Kluyveromyces lactis: one gene and its partners. The protein of the gene in region 4 interacts with the protein of the main gene of each other region in a biochemical or structural test. Links are inferred from orthologs where the notes say so. Each region holds a gene or a part of one and is shown on either strand. Other genes may lie near its edges.

Evidence for each region.
Region 1: the proteins of MCM5 (region 4) and ORC2 form a complex in vitro, tested with the Saccharomyces cerevisiae proteins (2 studies listed by BioGRID). The link is inferred for Kluyveromyces lactis from reciprocal best matches to the Saccharomyces cerevisiae genes MCM5 and ORC2.
Region 2: the proteins of MCM5 (region 4) and PSF2 form a complex in vitro, tested with the Saccharomyces cerevisiae proteins (2 studies listed by BioGRID). The link is inferred for Kluyveromyces lactis from reciprocal best matches to the Saccharomyces cerevisiae genes MCM5 and PSF2.
Region 3: the proteins of MCM5 (region 4) and SLD5 form a complex in vitro, tested with the Saccharomyces cerevisiae proteins (3 studies listed by BioGRID). The link is inferred for Kluyveromyces lactis from reciprocal best matches to the Saccharomyces cerevisiae genes MCM5 and SLD5.
Region 5: the proteins of MCM5 (region 4) and MCM10 form a complex in vitro, tested with the Saccharomyces cerevisiae proteins (3 studies listed by BioGRID). The link is inferred for Kluyveromyces lactis from reciprocal best matches to the Saccharomyces cerevisiae genes MCM5 and MCM10.

The regions. Positions count from the first base shown.
Region 1 is NC_006042.1:1,707,889-1,711,334, reverse strand, and holds ORC2 (origin recognition complex subunit 2), read right to left. Parts: upstream 2,302-3,446; coding exon 511-2,301; downstream 1-510. Other genes in the region: serine/threonine protein kinase AKL1, read right to left, coding at 1-204; DNA-directed RNA polymerase III core subunit RPC11, read left to right, coding at 2,678-3,016. UniProt on the Saccharomyces cerevisiae protein: Component of the origin recognition complex (ORC) that binds origins of replication. It has a role in both chromosomal replication and mating type transcriptional silencing. Binds to the ARS consensus sequence (ACS) of origins of replication.
Region 2 is NC_006040.1:558,086-560,473, reverse strand, and holds PSF2 (DNA replication protein PSF2), read left to right. Parts: upstream 1-1,270; coding exon 1,271-1,876; downstream 1,877-2,388. Other genes in the region: ARG2 (acetyl-CoA:L-glutamate N-acetyltransferase), read right to left, coding at 1-948. UniProt on the Saccharomyces cerevisiae protein: Functions as part of the GINS complex which plays an essential role in the initiation of DNA replication by binding to DNA replication origins and facilitating the assembly of the DNA replication machinery.
Region 3 is NC_006042.1:1,023,564-1,026,362, forward strand, and holds SLD5 (DNA replication protein SLD5), read left to right. Parts: upstream 1-1,414; coding exon 1,415-2,293; downstream 2,294-2,799. Other genes in the region: PAC11 (dynein intermediate chain), read right to left, coding at 1-1,103; serine/threonine/tyrosine protein kinase RAD53, read right to left, coding at 2,566-2,799. UniProt on the Saccharomyces cerevisiae protein: Required for DNA replication. Functions as part of the GINS complex which plays an essential role in the initiation of DNA replication by binding to DNA replication origins and facilitating the assembly of the DNA replication machinery.
Region 4 is NC_006040.1:778,813-783,018, reverse strand, and holds MCM5 (MCM DNA helicase complex subunit MCM5), read right to left. Parts: upstream 2,747-4,206; coding exon 506-2,746; downstream 1-505. Other genes in the region: mRNA splicing protein SMD2, read right to left, coding at 1-163. UniProt on the Saccharomyces cerevisiae protein: Acts as a component of the MCM2-7 complex (MCM complex) which is the putative replicative helicase essential for 'once per cell cycle' DNA replication initiation and elongation in eukaryotic cells.
Region 5 is NC_006037.1:50,749-54,574, reverse strand, and holds MCM10 (Mcm10p), read left to right. Parts: upstream 1-1,493; coding exon 1,494-1,581; intron 1,582-1,664; coding exon 1,665-3,310; downstream 3,311-3,826. Other genes in the region: MLP2 (Mlp2p), read left to right, coding at 1-1,271; KLLA0_A00550g (uncharacterized protein), read right to left, coding at 3,334-3,826. UniProt on the Saccharomyces cerevisiae protein: Required for DNA synthesis. Required for entry into or completion of S phase. Involved in DNA replication and seems to participate in the activation of the pre-replication complex (pre-RC) and in transcription elongation.

The DNA of each region.
Region 1 (3,446 bases), on a different chromosome or scaffold from region 4:
CATCTCGTTAGTCAATTCCAAGAATTTTACCTTGTATATATTTGCGAACCCACCCTCAGCTAAATGCTCCAAAATTTCACACCTATGAGTGCCAACAACAACCTGAGTGTTGGGACTCAACAGATGCGAATTCGGAATCATAGCAGAGGTCGCCGCAGTATGTGCCACCGAATTCGGTCTGGATATAGTGTCTGATTTGCTCATCACAATATTTAGCGGACTGCTGAATTAAATACCACTACCAACAGTGCTTCCAACACTTGCTGTTAGTGTATACGATACTCTTCTTTATCGAATTCTCCCTTTTCTTCTTAACCATATAACCTTAAGTTCATTAAAATAGTAATCTTTATCGAAAACTTATTTTTCAGTGATTTTCGGAAGCAGAACTGATTCAGCATAGGAAATGTAAAAGAAATGAACCCTGGTGGACGGTATGGTAAAGCCAAATGAGATCAGAACGCTAGAGTATAAATATAAATATGTATGGTGAATTTAAATAAGGATTATTTATTGCAGCATGGAATCTATCTCAGTTATCATTTTTTCCATGTCTCCATAGCTATATTTAACATTTATGATCTCTTTACCCATTTTATTTTTCGTATTGACAGCCATCTTATGATCAATGAACTCTGATAGGATGGTTCGAAGACCCATTTCGCTCGAGACTACGAACTGTTCGGTGCATGTTTTAAAAAGTTCAGAGAACTCAATCCCAGGTGTGATTTTGTTTAAGGAACTAGATTTTGCACGAGGCTTTGACTCGTTCTTGGCATTAATCTGTCCCATTAGAAGTTGAAGAAGAATTTTGTACATTCTTTTAGAATTGTCCGTCAGGGATTCTAGTACGTATTTAGCACCGTTCGCATTAAACAAGGTACCTGAATCTTTGGAAAAGTCGATAGCATTATCGGTTTGTACTGTTTCTACGATGTACGGCTCAAAATTTGTGATATCGTGGTAAACAAAGTTGAATGATTGAGCTCTGAAATGATCCCAAAGGAAAGGAGCTTGTATATGGTCGACACTTGCTACGACACAGATTTGTTTGATTTGTGCAAGAATACTCATTCTGGTTTGAAAATGTTCTCTCCGGAATGACGGACCGTCCAAGTTATGTATCAAAAGAATCATCTTCACCGTAGGAGGTCTTTTCTTGAAATATTTTGAAAGCCTGTCCATTTGCAAGTCAATTCGATTATCCCAATAATTTGATTGACCTTGATCATCAATAGTCTCGCCCTCTACTAAGATTTTGAATATATCCAAAAAGATGTTCTTAGAGAGAGTGGTGTACCCGTTCATTACAAAAACCGGTATACATGGATCATCTTTTTGAATATCCGGGTTTTGCAACAAGGCGATCTTCATAGAAAGAAAGTTGAATGCAAATGATTCGAGGAATTTCTTCTTCGATCCGATACCATAGAATAATAACGTAAATCCCTGCAGTAACTCGAAAGTAAACTGCTGAAAGAGTGTTTCATGTATTTTTTGTACTGCCTTTGTCGATGAACGATGGAATATATCATTGGAAAGTTGAGAAAGAATGTTATATTCATCTCTGGAAATACTTGGTGCCGAGGACATCGAGTTCTTGGATCTTTTATCAGTTTTTAGGATCTTGGTCTGATCTATGAAACCTTCGAAACCATCGAAAAAATATATTTGAGATTGTTCATCAGATGTTTGGTCATTATTATCGCTCTTTGGCAACTTAGTCGGTTTGAAATTAGGGTTCAAGTTCAATTTCAGATGCTTATACTGCTGGATATCGTCGTATGCAAGATCATCGTCTATAATTTTATTCCTTTGAACTGTATTTCTGGTAGTCTTTCTTTGGGGTGATGGTTCTGCATTAAATGTAAGTTTTCTCCTAGGCGACTTATTAGGTGAGCTTTCATTAGAATCTATTTTAATTTTTAGATCCTCGTATTCGTCGTCATTGTGTATCAATTCATTAGTATCTGACACATAGTCAATGGCATCATCTTCCTCCAACTTCACCCTCTTGGTTGTTTTCCTTTGCCTTCGCCTGGGAGTTGCAGTATCTGTCGATGAGTGCTTCCTACTCTCTTCATCTTTATATTCAGTCTCAATGCTAACAGACTCTAATGTGAGCGATCGTTTGGGTGACTTAGGTCGTACCGTTTTGGAAGGCGAAAGAAAATCAAAACTTTTAAGTTTCTTCGGTGACTGATATCTTACTTTGGAAGGTGATATGAAAATGTCTTGGTGATTTACAATATCAATGTCTTCTTCTTCTTCCTCATTATCACTGCACTCTTTCTTCGTCATGTTTTCAAGGTTTAACCGCTCCAAGATAATCAAATACTCTAAAGTCTAGAGAATGGAAACTAACTTATAAATGTGGGAGTTGTTCTTCTATCAAACCTCGCCCACAGGTATTAACCCTATACACTATATTTGACATACAAACCTTAAATGTCAACATAAATATCGATTCAAAGTTAAAGGCATGAAGCTCTACTTTTTTTTTTCTGAAAAATTTCTATATGAGATGAGGAAAGAATTAAAACCTACTCTCAATAATTATAGCGATGAGGTTCATTTTAGAGTGTATGCGATAACGTGTTGAAGGAGCTTATGGGCAGGTAACGGTGCGTTAACGTATCGTGTTTGAGGAGTCTGACATTGAGAATTAAGTTGTAGGATGCTTTCGTTTTGCCCATTATGCAATAACATGTTGTTGGTATCAAAAGCTGATTCAGGTCTGTATAAACTAGCATGCGGATCATGCCCATACCAGTTTTTAATTGATGGGATAGAGGTATACGATAGAAAGAACCTCCCTAGGAAAGAAGTTGATGATGTCTTAGGTGGAGAAGGTGCATGGGATAATGTTGACCAGACAGCAGCACAATGTCCGAACCATGACCAATGTGCGGGTGAAAGAGCTTACTTCTTCCAGTTGCAAATCAGATCTGCAGATGAACCTATGACAACTTTCTACAAATGTGTTAACTGTGGTCATAAATGGAGAGAGAACTAGAGATTGTGTATTTTTGAAATTTACTTTGATTTCGATACGCATCAAACAAAATATTATAGATCTTCTTAGCAGTTATTACATCGCTTAGAGCAAAAAACTGACAAGAAGATAAATGTTCGGCTTTAATCGCTGCCATTTGTCTCTCGCCCAGCTAAAAACGCATGCTTAATCTTTCAAATGATGAAAGGTAGATCACGCTTTCATTAGGCTCGCAAAAGGAAGTTGTTAGGGTTTGATGAAACTTCTTCTGAATCAAAGTGTAATATAATGTATAAATCTACAAATAGATTGAACAAGACAAAATAAAAGTATTGTCGACGGCCTGACAGAACCATTTCGTGCAACGCTGTATGGTACTAACGACCGACTTGGTTTTTGAAGCGTAAGAAATTAAGATCATTAGAAACTAAGAATTAAATACATGAGACGT
Region 2 (2,388 bases), about 220 kb from region 4:
TCTTTTGAATCGAGGTAAAGATGACGATATCAATGAACGATCAGTCAAGATATTATATACCAATGGGTTATTATCTGATAATTTGGACCCTGCTAAAATAGTGGTAATTAGCCCAGTAGACGAATGTGGTAGAACTGATAGCGTTTTATTCATGATTTCAAGGTCTTCCATATGACATTTCAGTTGATCGCTGTTACTAAGAATCTTATCCTGATTCAAAAATAATTGTAGAGATTCTACCAAATTCTTCTCAGTATTATCCACTTGAATAGATTCTAGTTTCTCCAATTGATTTTGATAACTGTTTCTCAATTCTCGATATTCTTGTGACAAATTTACAAAGACATGGCTGTTTGTATGTCTTTCCACAGACGGCAATCCACCATACTTGCTGATAAGGAACACCTTGTCGATATTTATGGGCAAGTTACTCACTAGAGATGATAAGAATCGAGATGGATCGCCAGCCAATTTCTTAAAAGCTTCCTTCTCATGGTACTGATATGGCTCAATAATCGGAATAATATGCGGGTTCAAAATCGGAAGTTTTACGTCAATTGAGCCACGTTCACCGATGGTAATGGGATCTAATACGATTATTGACTTCAGACTCTGATCATGCAAATGATTGTCCAAACGCTGACTTTGGTATGATATGTCTTGGCATAGCGGGTCTACTATTAAAATTGGTCTTAGTCCGAGTGTTTGAATTCTTGACACAGTCTTGCTAAACCCACTAAGTACGTTATCTGAATATTCGGACAAATGTCTCAAAAATACAAGACAGTAGTGATGATTATTCTCATCGGTATATTTGTTCAAATAGTCTTTCGCTTCCCTTTTAGTCACTGTAGAATTCAAAACGCTCATAACCAAACTCCTGCCATGAGCATTAGGTTGATGGTATCTGACCTCTGTGGTCAAACACCTAATCCATGTTTTGATCATAGCACTAGCCCACAAAATGTGCCTTTGGACGTTATATGATGAGATCAAACCATTTATCTGCAAATATGGAAAGTGTATAAAACCATCATTTATTCTAGTTTTATCAATGAGTCAAGTCATCAGAGAAAACTGCCAGTTTAAAGCTTTAGTTAGTCTTTCCTGTTTTTGTTTTTCCTGTGCTGGATTTCAATGTCAAGATTGAACATGGAAAAATAATTGAAGCACAGATATCGATTGGTCATAGTCGCGCATTGAAAGCACTATGTAAGGAAGTAGTGAGCTTGAGGACACTATAGATTAGCAACTCCAACCTGAAATAGAGATGGCACTACCGAGAGATCTATCAATAGGATTTTCTCCCCAAGAGATACAGTTTTTAATTGAAAATGAACCGACACGAATTATGCCCAGAATCACTACGAGGAAGACCAAAAAACAGCTCGCGAAGGATCCTGGCGCCCAATGGTCACTGATCACATGCGATGATTCTACGGTAAATAACATGGTTGCAATGAATAGTTGCGAAGTCACGTTATGGCTGGCTTTACTGTTAAAACAACAGGGAAAGTGTAACGTCGTGGTACCCAGTTGGCTGACGTTACAACAGCTGGAGAAGTATTTAGATTTTGAATTGAAAAACCCATCACGATTCTCCAATCTACCCTGGAATTGGCTAGTGGTATCGTCACTGCTGTTTGCCAGATGCAGCGATGATTTTCAGGATCCAGTTCATCTACTGAGATCTAAGGTCCAAGATCTGCGAGAAGTTCGTTTGGGAAAAGTCAACAAGGGTTTGCAGTACCTGAACGAATCGCATTTACAGCTAGAGAACTTGTCCTTGATGGAAATCAATGAGATGAGACCCTATGCGTGTGGTATCATGGACAAACTGAGGACAATTCATGACTCCAGTAATGACACCACGTGATCAATAATATAATAACCTTTTCCCATTGAATCCAAAATTCCATTCACGAGGTTTCCACCAGTCCCTCCCCTTAATCCAACCTACATGGTTATATGATAACACAGTTGACCATAATCACTAGAAAAGGTCGGGTTACCATGTAAGTACAGGCCTATCAAATAACACATATATTACATACCCTACATGTACCCGCTTCACAGTTTGTAGTAATTCGAAACAACTGATCCATCCCGAACATTCACGCACTGCTTAGTTCTTATTTACGTTTGTGTCGCAAACATGCCTCGCGGGCATGCCTTGCGTGTGCACCCCACGTTCTTGCTTCATCATATTTGTTGTTCTTCAGGCTATTTCGGTTCCTTGCATTGAACTACGGGTATAACTTACAGAAAACGACACAAGGGGGGAACACAAACACGGAAACGAATCACGTTTCTTCAATATTACGTTGGGAAAAGAATTTACCGTAGATAGAAAACAATAACAGTAGAAATTGAGCAGGATGAACTCAT
Region 3 (2,799 bases), on a different chromosome or scaffold from region 4:
ATTATCAATAGGTGTTGGTAATACTTGTTATCTTTTTTAGTCTGTTCAGTAGAATATGATAAGTCCGTCCTTGGGATAGGAATAATTTTGACATCGTCATCCTCTTTTAATGATAAATCTAAGGTTGATATCAGCTTAAGTTGGCCATTGGTGCTGGCCGCCAGGATGCTATGGTCATTGAATTTTGGAATTATAATTGAAAGTACCGGATAGTGATGATAATTAGTGGAAACAATATTTCTTTCCACCTGAAAGCTATTATTTATTTTGACTGTTCGCAGTTCATATAAGATGAGTTTTCCTGTATAGCAAGAAAGAACGACGGAGGTAATCTTAGAATTAGGATTATCAATAAACTTGCTCCGTACAACATTCTGACCTTGGAATAAAACTGTATCAAGTACCTCACCAGAAGAGACGTGTGTGATTTGAACTAAAGAGCTTTTCACGTATTTGGTTACAAGATGAATCACAGTAACCAGTAAATTATCTAAGACGTCACTGGAAATGACCCTTGCTTCAGAAGTTGAATCAATGGCAACTTTTGGTGAAATTGATAAATACATGCTTATTTTCCCATCACCAGCGATTTGATGAGAAGATGACTTGAGCGCAGCCGCTTCTATAGTCTCCTGTAGTGAAAATGTTTCTTTCTTCAACGTTGCGTAGTCTTCCGCTGAAACGACATTTCCGAAATCAAACACATCCTTTTCAACAACTTCTTTATCCTCCTTGGTCTCTGTAATATCTGAAGTCGATGCTTGCTGTTCTATAAGATCTTGGGAAGGTAGATGTCCATCTTCCATAATTTCATGTTTCCCGTCATATTCATCTGTCTGTATTCCGATATCATATGTTATCACAGCCTCCTTAACAGCGCTCAATTCAAACTCATTTACATCATCTGTTTGCACTGAGATCTCAACAGTTTTTACTTCTTTCTTGACTTCAGATTCGTTGTTATTTATGGAATTGGTGATATGGGAAATGAACGGAAGGGTACAATCTGCTATCTCTTCATGTTTCGAATCAATTTTTTTCCTTTGCAGCTGAAGAGCCTCTATTTTCTGCTTCATCAACTGTAAGCGCTCATTCTTGTCCATATTTCTGGGTATATTCCCCCTGAGGTTGGTGTTGCTGATGAGCGCTTCTTCACTGACGCGTTTTATCTTGCTTCATGTATGGATTTGTTAAGCGTAAACAAAAGATGATAAATAAGATTTGAGTATTATCAAAAATACGATGTTACAGTAAGTTGGATGAATTTCACAATAGGTTGGAGGATAACACATTGCAAGTAAGTCCTTCTTGTCTGAATACACCTTTACAGCAATTATAAAAGCCACCCCGGTGTACTATCCGAACACTTCCTCCGCTTTGAGTCCTGGTGGTAGGATCATATTTCTTTAGTACAATGAGCATTGATATTGACGACATTCTAGCTGAGCTGGATAGGGACACTACAGCTGTTGAACAAAATGCTTCTTCATACCCAGACCAAAGCGATCGAACTCAAGGCAATGATGTCTCTCAGATAAGACCAGCAGATAAGGCGGTTGACCCTGTGGCTCCCACACAGTTTAACAAAATTGACGACTATCAAAAGCTAATTACACATTGGAAGAATGAACGTATGAGTCCGGAGCTGCTTCCATATCCACATCATCTCATGACTAGGACATTAATAAGGATTCAAGAAAGAATTGAACTAATAGAAACACTATCAATGGGATACTTAGAAGATAATCAAGAGTTAACTGTCGATTCAAAGCTACCACTTTTATGCATGGAAGCAGAACTTGAGAGATTGAAGTTCCTAGTTCGATCTTTCATCAGATGCCGGTTAAGCAAAATTGACAAATACAGCATTTACCTAAGACAACAATCCGAACTACCCAATAATGCGGGCCTCAGCAGACTAGATTTATTGATGTCCAAAGAAGAGGTGAAGTACCATATGAAGCATTCTGACATATTACTAAAACTGTTTAACAACGCAGTACTTAAGCACTTACCAGAAGAACTGCAAGCCGTTAACGATACTGAGGGTTCCATCAGTATGATTGATGAACCCGATTGGAATAAAACTGTATTTATACTAGTTTGTGGTGGGGTAGTTGACGAAAGTGGTATTGATTCGAAATTAACGACCGATGATGATGGAAAACACTGTTACTCAGTGATTATTGAAGATTTAAATGAAGAAATTTACTTATTAATCGGGGCAGTATACGTAATACGTTATAGTGTAATACGAGATCTCATGACTGAGGGACGAGTAGTTTTAATATAATGAAAATTCTGAACAGTATTACTGAACCTATGACTCTTCGAAAAATATAGGTTTGTAACGAATGTTTGCCAGCAATAATTTCTCAACAATGTTATTGCGAACACAGCATGTTTTCTACCTAGTGTTATTGACTGCTGGTCTATAGTGCTTTTGAACCAATTTGTATTAGTATTACATCAATTAACGTTGAAAAGTCTATCTAGCATACTCAAAGTGTACCTATTTTTCATATTTACTGTATGCAAAACCCATCCGGCAAGCATATGATCAGCTCAGAGAAATCCTTCAATATCTGGTTTCTGGGCTTGGGCAAGCTTAGCCCTTTTGGTTGTCTGCGGTTGAGATTGAGATAACGACACTGAATGTATTCTTTTCAATCCTGTAGTCGAGTTCATCTCAACGACAGAATCTAATTCCTCGATATTTTGCGAGTTGGCATCTATGTTACTGGAAGAGGACTGGTTTATATTAGATTTGGCATGTTGTGATGATCTAGACTTCATAAA
Region 4 (4,206 bases):
GATTGTTCCTTAGTGATATTATAACAGGTGTCCTCTGTAGCATTGATTCCCTGATTAGAGACATGGGTCCATATTTCATTTCGAATTCTTCTAGTTGTGTTAGCTCGTCTCTAGATAGTTCAGACCTTGAAAGGTCTGTCTTTGGAATATATGTATCGGCCATCGTGTTTTAGGTCAATTTTCTAGTATATGTAACAGACAAATCCTGAAGATAAGTCCTTGGCTTATGATATTTGCAATCTCGTAAGTTTGTGATAACTTGTCCTGATTGCCATATGATATGAGAGGTTCCTTCTTTGGTCATCTCATCATCTCATCCTGTGCATCAAACCCAATATACCATCCAGTTGTTTTCTTTCGGATTATCCAATTATCATTATCATTATCCGGGTAATCTTACACTATATAAATATCAACACATAGTCGCTGAAATTCCTTATACACAGTGGTACATATGAGTTATAGACAATGTTCAAGGAGGGGTTCCTGAATTTCATTTGCAACTTCATACTCCACTTCTATAAATATTCTGACCTTGATGTCTTAGTTGAATAGAATCATGTCTTTCTAACAGGTATAACGCCTTATCTAGCGCATATTGGGGAAGTTTCTTGTTCACAACGAATTCCCTTTGCAAAGTTTTGTAACTTGTAGACCATCCTATTGGCAACCTTCTTTTCAATTCAGATTCGATTCTTCTAATTTGTGAGAGCATTGTTGTATCATTTTCCTGGGAGTTGATAGGATCCTGAGAGGCAGCATCCATCGTAGAAGCTTGGAATAATCTAATGGCTTCATCAACATGTTTTTCGGTCGCTACTGGATTCAGTTCTAATTTAGCTAAAGATTCTGTGATACGAATTATGGCTTCTAATTGACGAACTGTGATTGGAATGGAAGACCTCTCATTGGAATGTCTTTCGGACTCTTGTAATTGTTTTCTAATAGTGATGAAATGAGAAGATAATTTTGTGGCTGCTTCAGGAGATAACCTGGGGGCACATTTTAACCTACAGTAACTAACATATCTCTTCATAGTTTCTATTGGAATTTCGTTGTTGGAGTTGGAATTATCATTTGGATCGTTTTGTTGAGTTCTTCCTGTGTGAATGTTCATGACGTGGTTCGCAATTTGGATATCTCTAGCTTCATTGTGATCATCTTTAACAATGAAGATCATATCGAATCTGGACAAGATGGTAGTTTGGAAATCAATGTTTTCACCCGGTGATTTCAAATCATCATATCTACCGTAAACAGGGTTTGCTGCAGCTAAGACACTAGTTCTAGAATTCAAAACGGTAGTGATACCGGCTTTAGCAATGGAAATAGTTTGTTGTTCCATGGCTTCATGGATGGCAACACGGTCCTCGTCTCTCATCTTGTCAAATTCGTCAATACAGACAACACCACCATCAGCAAGCACCATTGCACCTCCTTCTAGGTAAAATTCCCGTGTAGTTGGATCTCTTTGGACACTTGCCGTCAAACCAGCTGCAGAAGAACCTTTACCAGATGTATATACCGAAATCGGAGAAACTTTTTCCACAAATTTCAACAGTTGGGATTTTGCAGTACCAGGATCACCAAGCAGTAGCACGTTGATATCACCTCTTAGTCTCATACCATCTGGTAACAATTTCTTCGATCCGCCCATAAGGAGACAAACGATGGCTTTCTTGATATCAGTGTTACCATAGATACTGGGAGCAATTGAGTTGGCGAAAAGTTCATATAGATCTGGTCGTTGGGAAAGCTCCAAAAATTCTTGTTCTTCACTTTCCGAAAACATAGATAGAGAATTGTTTAACGGATTATTTGATAGGTGTTTGATCCCGATAACTTTCACGTAAGGGTTTCTGATCGCCACAGCTTTATTTCCAGAACTATTAATACTCTTATTCTTGGATTGGTAGATGGAATAAATACCAATAATGGTAACTCTTGTTCCTGGAACAACTTGGTTGGTCAAATATCTATCACATGTCATTAGTAAATTTCTAGGCAATTCACCAATTGGCACGGATTCCGGTAATTCTTGTAGTTTCAAAAACTGTTGGTCAATAAACTGTGACGATTCGTGTACGATTAAATATGGGTCAGGGCCACAAGAAGCTGCTGTTTCATCTGTTTCGTTGGAACGATCTGCAAGACACTCACGAGGTAACTGGACGTTATTGTTATTCAAATTCTGGAAATTGTTCAACTTCAAAGTTGTCATATGTTTACAGCTTCTACACATTAGCGATAACTGAGTGGCTCTTGATGTCAAGACACTGGATGAGATGATGATCCCTGTAATTCTGACGATCTTAGAAACGTGATCCGAATCCAAACTTCTTAATGGAATTTCCATAGAACTGGAATTTAAAATGAGCTGACATAGTGGGAAGTTCGACAACGCTGTCTCTGGATCAATATCAGAATCTTGCGATAACAAAACAATTCTCTTTGCCACTTGAGTTATTGCTTGTTCGAACAACGGGATAATATCTATCGGTTCATCCTGTAATTTTTTGTATAGATCTTCATTATATCCAATAAGATGCTCCGTATTCACGTCAAGGAAGTATTTATGAACCAACAGGTTATTTCTCAGTTGTTCTCTGTAAACGAAGTTGGAATCTAGTCTGAATTCCAGTATGAAACTCTTAAAAGATTTGATAATCTCTGAATTTTCATTGGAAGACAGTTCTTCACCTGCCAACACTCTAGTGGTATGGATCTCTGGTTTATCAAACGACATGGCCTGTCTTCAATTGACTTGTTGCCCTTGAAATTGTATAATACCTATCTCAGCAGTTTACTTAGAAACACAGACATGTAATACGGATACTCTTTAAGATGTATGATGTTTGTTGTAATTTAAGTCGCGATTGAATCCGGATATTCAAAACAGAATAAAATTCCAAATCAAAAAAAAAAAAAGCTTGATCTTCGCTTAACCTAATACGGAAAAGTAATTGATCGAACCGAAAGAAAAATAAATATGAAACAACACTTCTCAACACGTGACCCGGAAGGTTAAAATGCGGTTTTCTTTTTGCCTTGAGGGATTCAATTTAGGTGACGACGCGTTGCTCGAACAACCAACTGCACCGAATAAGGAAAGTCAATAAGGGTGCATTGCTTTCGTGGTTTGTTCTGATCTTAGAAATCGGAGAAACTTCGCTACACAGAATAACCGCTGAAATGTAATGAAAAATTCCTGCCACCTTACCAAAAGCGGCAAAAGGCCAAGCCAGGATAACTTAGCTATCTAGCAAAATCAAGCGTACTGATTTTTCAAGCCGTTCTTTAATCGGTCAAAAATGAAAGATGCAAAAAATCCGGTATTCAGCCATATTGGTGAAGAGGGGCAAGAGGAGACTGAATCCCGACTAAATTTTTCTACGACTTGAACTGAGTGAAACGGCTAGGAAAAACCTCATGATCGGTCACCAGACCAACAGCTGTTACAACAATATAAAGGTGGAGAGTAAATGTCACAAGAATGTTCTTAGAATTACTACAGACGAATCACTTTGCCTGTGCTTTCAACCGCACTGCAAAAAATGTTGAATGCATTCATCACAATTCAAGCCGCCAAAATCATTGAAAAATTATGGAAGCATTCTAGTCAGAAAATTTTTCTTTGATTTTGGGATTAGGAAATCATTGATTGAGCATTAGGTAAAAAATTTCAAGTCTGTTATTCATTTGTCCGCGCATCATCAGCTCCCTCTCTCTCTCCCAGTGTGTTCCTGATCTGATTCAGCACTAGACTCACCCGGCTTAGCGCCCTTATTAACCCCGTGTTGAGCTTGTGCGAACAGCCTGCAGAATATCATACGATTTAATGTTAACTACACTATGGGGAAAAAGCAAATTAGAAAAAAAGAAAAACAAGAAAAAAAATAGGCGCACGTCTAGAAAGTAATCGCGCTCATACACGCCTTACATGTAGATATCCCTCGCTCTTGCCACCCCATGCTTTATTATTAGCCATTCCAGTAAGATGAATCCAGCACTGAAACGTCAGTATCGAGCATTCAGTCATTGCCATGGCTAGAACTAGCTCTCAAAGAAAAACCCCCATTCCAGCTGCATCTCCAGTCGTATTTCCGGGTTCCTCTGTGAGAGTTTATGGTAAGTAAGTATGTATGTTTGTTTGTACTTGTGAATATTCCCAACAGTTTTACCATGGGGGTGCCTCCACGGCACATA
Region 5 (3,826 bases), on a different chromosome or scaffold from region 4:
GGGAATCGAAGTTCCAAAGAATTAGGCTTCAAGCACGTGATAGATTGAATGCCTCCAAGGAAAAGGAACAATCTTTATCATCAGAAATAAACCAAATCAATGAAGCTAAATCTCAAGTGGAGGCCGATTTAGGAAAATGTAAGACCGCTTGCAAAGAGTTAGAAGAAAGATTACAAGTGGTAACGCAAGAAGCAGAAACAAAGGAACAGACTTTTAACTCTCAATTATCTAAATTGCAGGAAGATCTACATTCTATTCAGGTTCAAATGGAAAATGCTTCCAAGACCGAACAGAATAATGCAGATTCAGATGAAAAAATAAAATCGTTGACTGAGACTGTGGAAATGTTAAATAGTAAAATACAGGAGCTTGAAGCCGAAGCCTCCAACGCTCAAAAAATAGTAGCTGAACATCATACGCCAGTTATCAACGAAGACACGAAGTCAATAGTGGATAATTTGAAAACAGAATTTGAAGCTGAAAAAGAACAATTAATAAAAGATAAAGAAAAAGAATTGAGGAGCAAGTTTGAGGCAGAAAAAGAATCTGCTTGGAATTCCAGAGAGGAAGAGCTCCGGAAACAGTTTGAAGAAAGAGAAAAGAGAATTCGTGAAGAGTGCGAAAAGACTACTGTCCAGTCTCCTTCGCAGCCTACCTTGGATATAGACATCGATGCTTTGAAGAATGAATGGGAAAAAGAATATGAGAAGCAGACTCTGGAAAAAATTAAATTAGCAGAAGAAGCCCTCAAGAAACGGATCAGGTTACCTACTCAACAAAAGATTGATAAAATAGTTGAGGCAAGAAAAGCTGTTTTAGAAGAGTCCTTTGAAGAAAAGGTAAACGAAAAGGCCCAAAAATTGGCAGGAGAGATCGGAAATGATGCCATTACTCTAGAAAAGCATCGTGCAGAATTGAATGCACTTAAGGATTCCATGCGTAAGCAATTTGAAGCAGATTTGGCAGAAATAAAACAAAAATCTTTCGAAGAAGGGAAACAGCAAGTTTCCTTGAAATTGAAATTTTTGGAAAGCAAGATCAGGAATTTAGAACAACAAAAGTCCACAATTAAACCTGTAGAGAATGACACTTCTAATATGAGTGCAGCATTCCAGGCCCCTGTATTTGGCTCTCATTCAACATTCACTAGTCCCTTCTCAACGTCAGAAATTTCTCCTAATAAGAGACCCATAGACGACACCGCAACAGAACAGCCTGAGAAACGTCACAAAGAGCCTGAAAGTGATACTGAGGATGGTCAGGAAGCCTGATTCTCCAGACGATTTTATGGCTGTTAATATTACCGAAGTTCTATTTAATTTTTTTCTATTATGTATCATTATTTGACCATTCGTTTTCAACATGTAAAAAATACTAGTATTACTTTCCACAGATATTCAAACGAGAAAACAAAATAATGACATCCCACAAGTAAAGAATGAACGAGAATAGTTACAGAAGCTATCGAGTATAGGTAACAGTGAAGATGCATCATGTCATATGATCTAACTGACCCGAGAGAAATTACGGCGTTCGACCCGTACGAGGAATTATCTGATGATGAATCTGAAATCGAAAGAGGTATGTTCTAATAATAATGGTTACCGAGATCAATGACATTAGAATATCCTACTAACATATTATAACCAATCATTAAATCAAAGTGAAACGAAGAATTGTTGAAATTGACACTGAGAAACGAGATTTAACTAACCGGCTGTTGGAACTAGAGAAGAAGAGAAACCTCAAAGACCCTAATTTCGATTCTATCGACGTTCCAGAGTCTCCTAAGAAATCAGATAATGCTACAAAAGGAATAGAGGATATCAAACATATTGCGCCAGTAGCAGATATAGAGGAAGCTACATTTAATGTTAATGAGGATTATGTAAGGGAAAAGGTCAAAAAGTTGGGTACCACTTCTTACTTTACTGAAAAACTTCGCTCCATCAATACAAATGAACATGAAGCGATTAAAAGGAAGAAAGAATTATTGGCACATCGAGTTTACACATTCAATGGCGACATGTTCGATGAATATGAACCAATTACTGTTGATGAAAAAGATGATTTGAGTGGTCTGGTTATAGACAGAAGGTATGTACCGTTGGCCGTACTTAGGAAACATACTAAAAACATAAAAGTGCTTCGACTTCCAAAGCTCTTCAGTAAGGTGAGAGCCCCTAAGTTCTCTGAACCTGATTATCCCAATTGGTTGGTATTGGGTATCATCTCAAAGAAAACTGAACCAAGAATGACAAATTCTGTGAAACCGGTGAAATTCTTCAGCCTAACCATAAGTGATTTCCAATTTGAACTGAATGTTATTTTCTTTGGGAAAAGTATAGTTGAAAAGTATTACAAACTAAGATTAGGTGATTTGATTGCTATACTTAACCCTGAAATAATGCCTTCCAAGAAACTGGAAGCGGGAGCAAGCCCTAGTTACGCTACATTTTCGTTAAAAGTTAGTAAAGACACCAATAATATACTGGAACTAGGTCACAGTAAGGAATTCGGATTGTGCCAATTTTACATGAAGAACAAAGGCAAGCTATGTGGTGCGCCAATAAACAAATTGCATGATAACTACTGTGCATATCATAAAGAGGCAAAAATGAGGCAAAACAGTTCTAGAAGAGTTGAAATTAGTAGCTCTGTGGCAATGAGAGCGCCAGTTGTCAAAGGATATCAACAGACTATTGTAAAATCACAACACAATAATGGTAAAACATCCATAAGATATCAACAAAATCCTGATAAACCGTTTGTACGAGAACCGGCAGCTGCAGAGACCAACAGATTCCTCTTCAGTTCTGCAAATGCCTCTACCGCGTTTTTCGATGACGACTACGAAAATCCTGACATACTGGCCAACCTTGATAACAAAAGACGCAAAATTCAAGAACTCAGAAACAATCGAAACTTGGAGAAAAAGTTAAAGGGTCTATCCGACAAATTGTTGTCAAAGAAGGAAGACCGAGTCAATCAAGAAGCAAAAAAGACTGCGACGTTGAGCATGTTCCAACATGGTTTAGCGAACCAAATTGGTTATGACCCAACAAAAGGGAAAGCGTCTTTAGAGATGCTTGAATATTCTACAGAGAATAAGGCGCCAAAGAATGATAAACAGCTGGCGATAACGGATATTTGCAATATAAAGAAAGATAATGTTAGCCTGAAACCTTCGAAGAAACAATTGAAAGAGAAAATTGAAAAGAGAAACGCTATCTTCAATGAAATAATGAAAGGCAGCCAAGAGCGGCTCGATAAAGATGAAGGCTCAAGTGATGATTTGGAAATTATATAGACAATAATGTAAGGTTTAATATATTATAAAGAATGTAGTACTTTTAATGATGGCTCCGTACAAGTCTCAATTCTTATCGTGGATGGTGGAGTATTCTTTCCCTCTAACTCTAGTAAGTTAAGAAGTTGCCCATCACAGCAAACTTCAAAGTTGCTCTTTTGTGACGGATCGTCTAGTACTTCGACGTTAAAACAAAATGGCAGTGGTCTGTAAAACGTTCCATTCTGTAAGATGTTTGAATGCTTCGTATTTGAATAACCCATAAATACCCTTTTCTGGAATTCTACTCTATCCAGAGAAGACTGGTATGCCAATACATGTAGTTGTGATTCCAATGGATCAGAATCGGGAGATGGCATATAAGTTGGCTCCAGATTTGTGGTATTTATTAACGCAAAATAACTAAAAGATCCTTCCAGAATATCGGGAATAGAGACGCGAGATTCGAGCTTGTATTCTCTTAAAATTCGCTGGCTAGCAACTCTAAACCTTTCAATGCCCATTTTCTGGTACTCA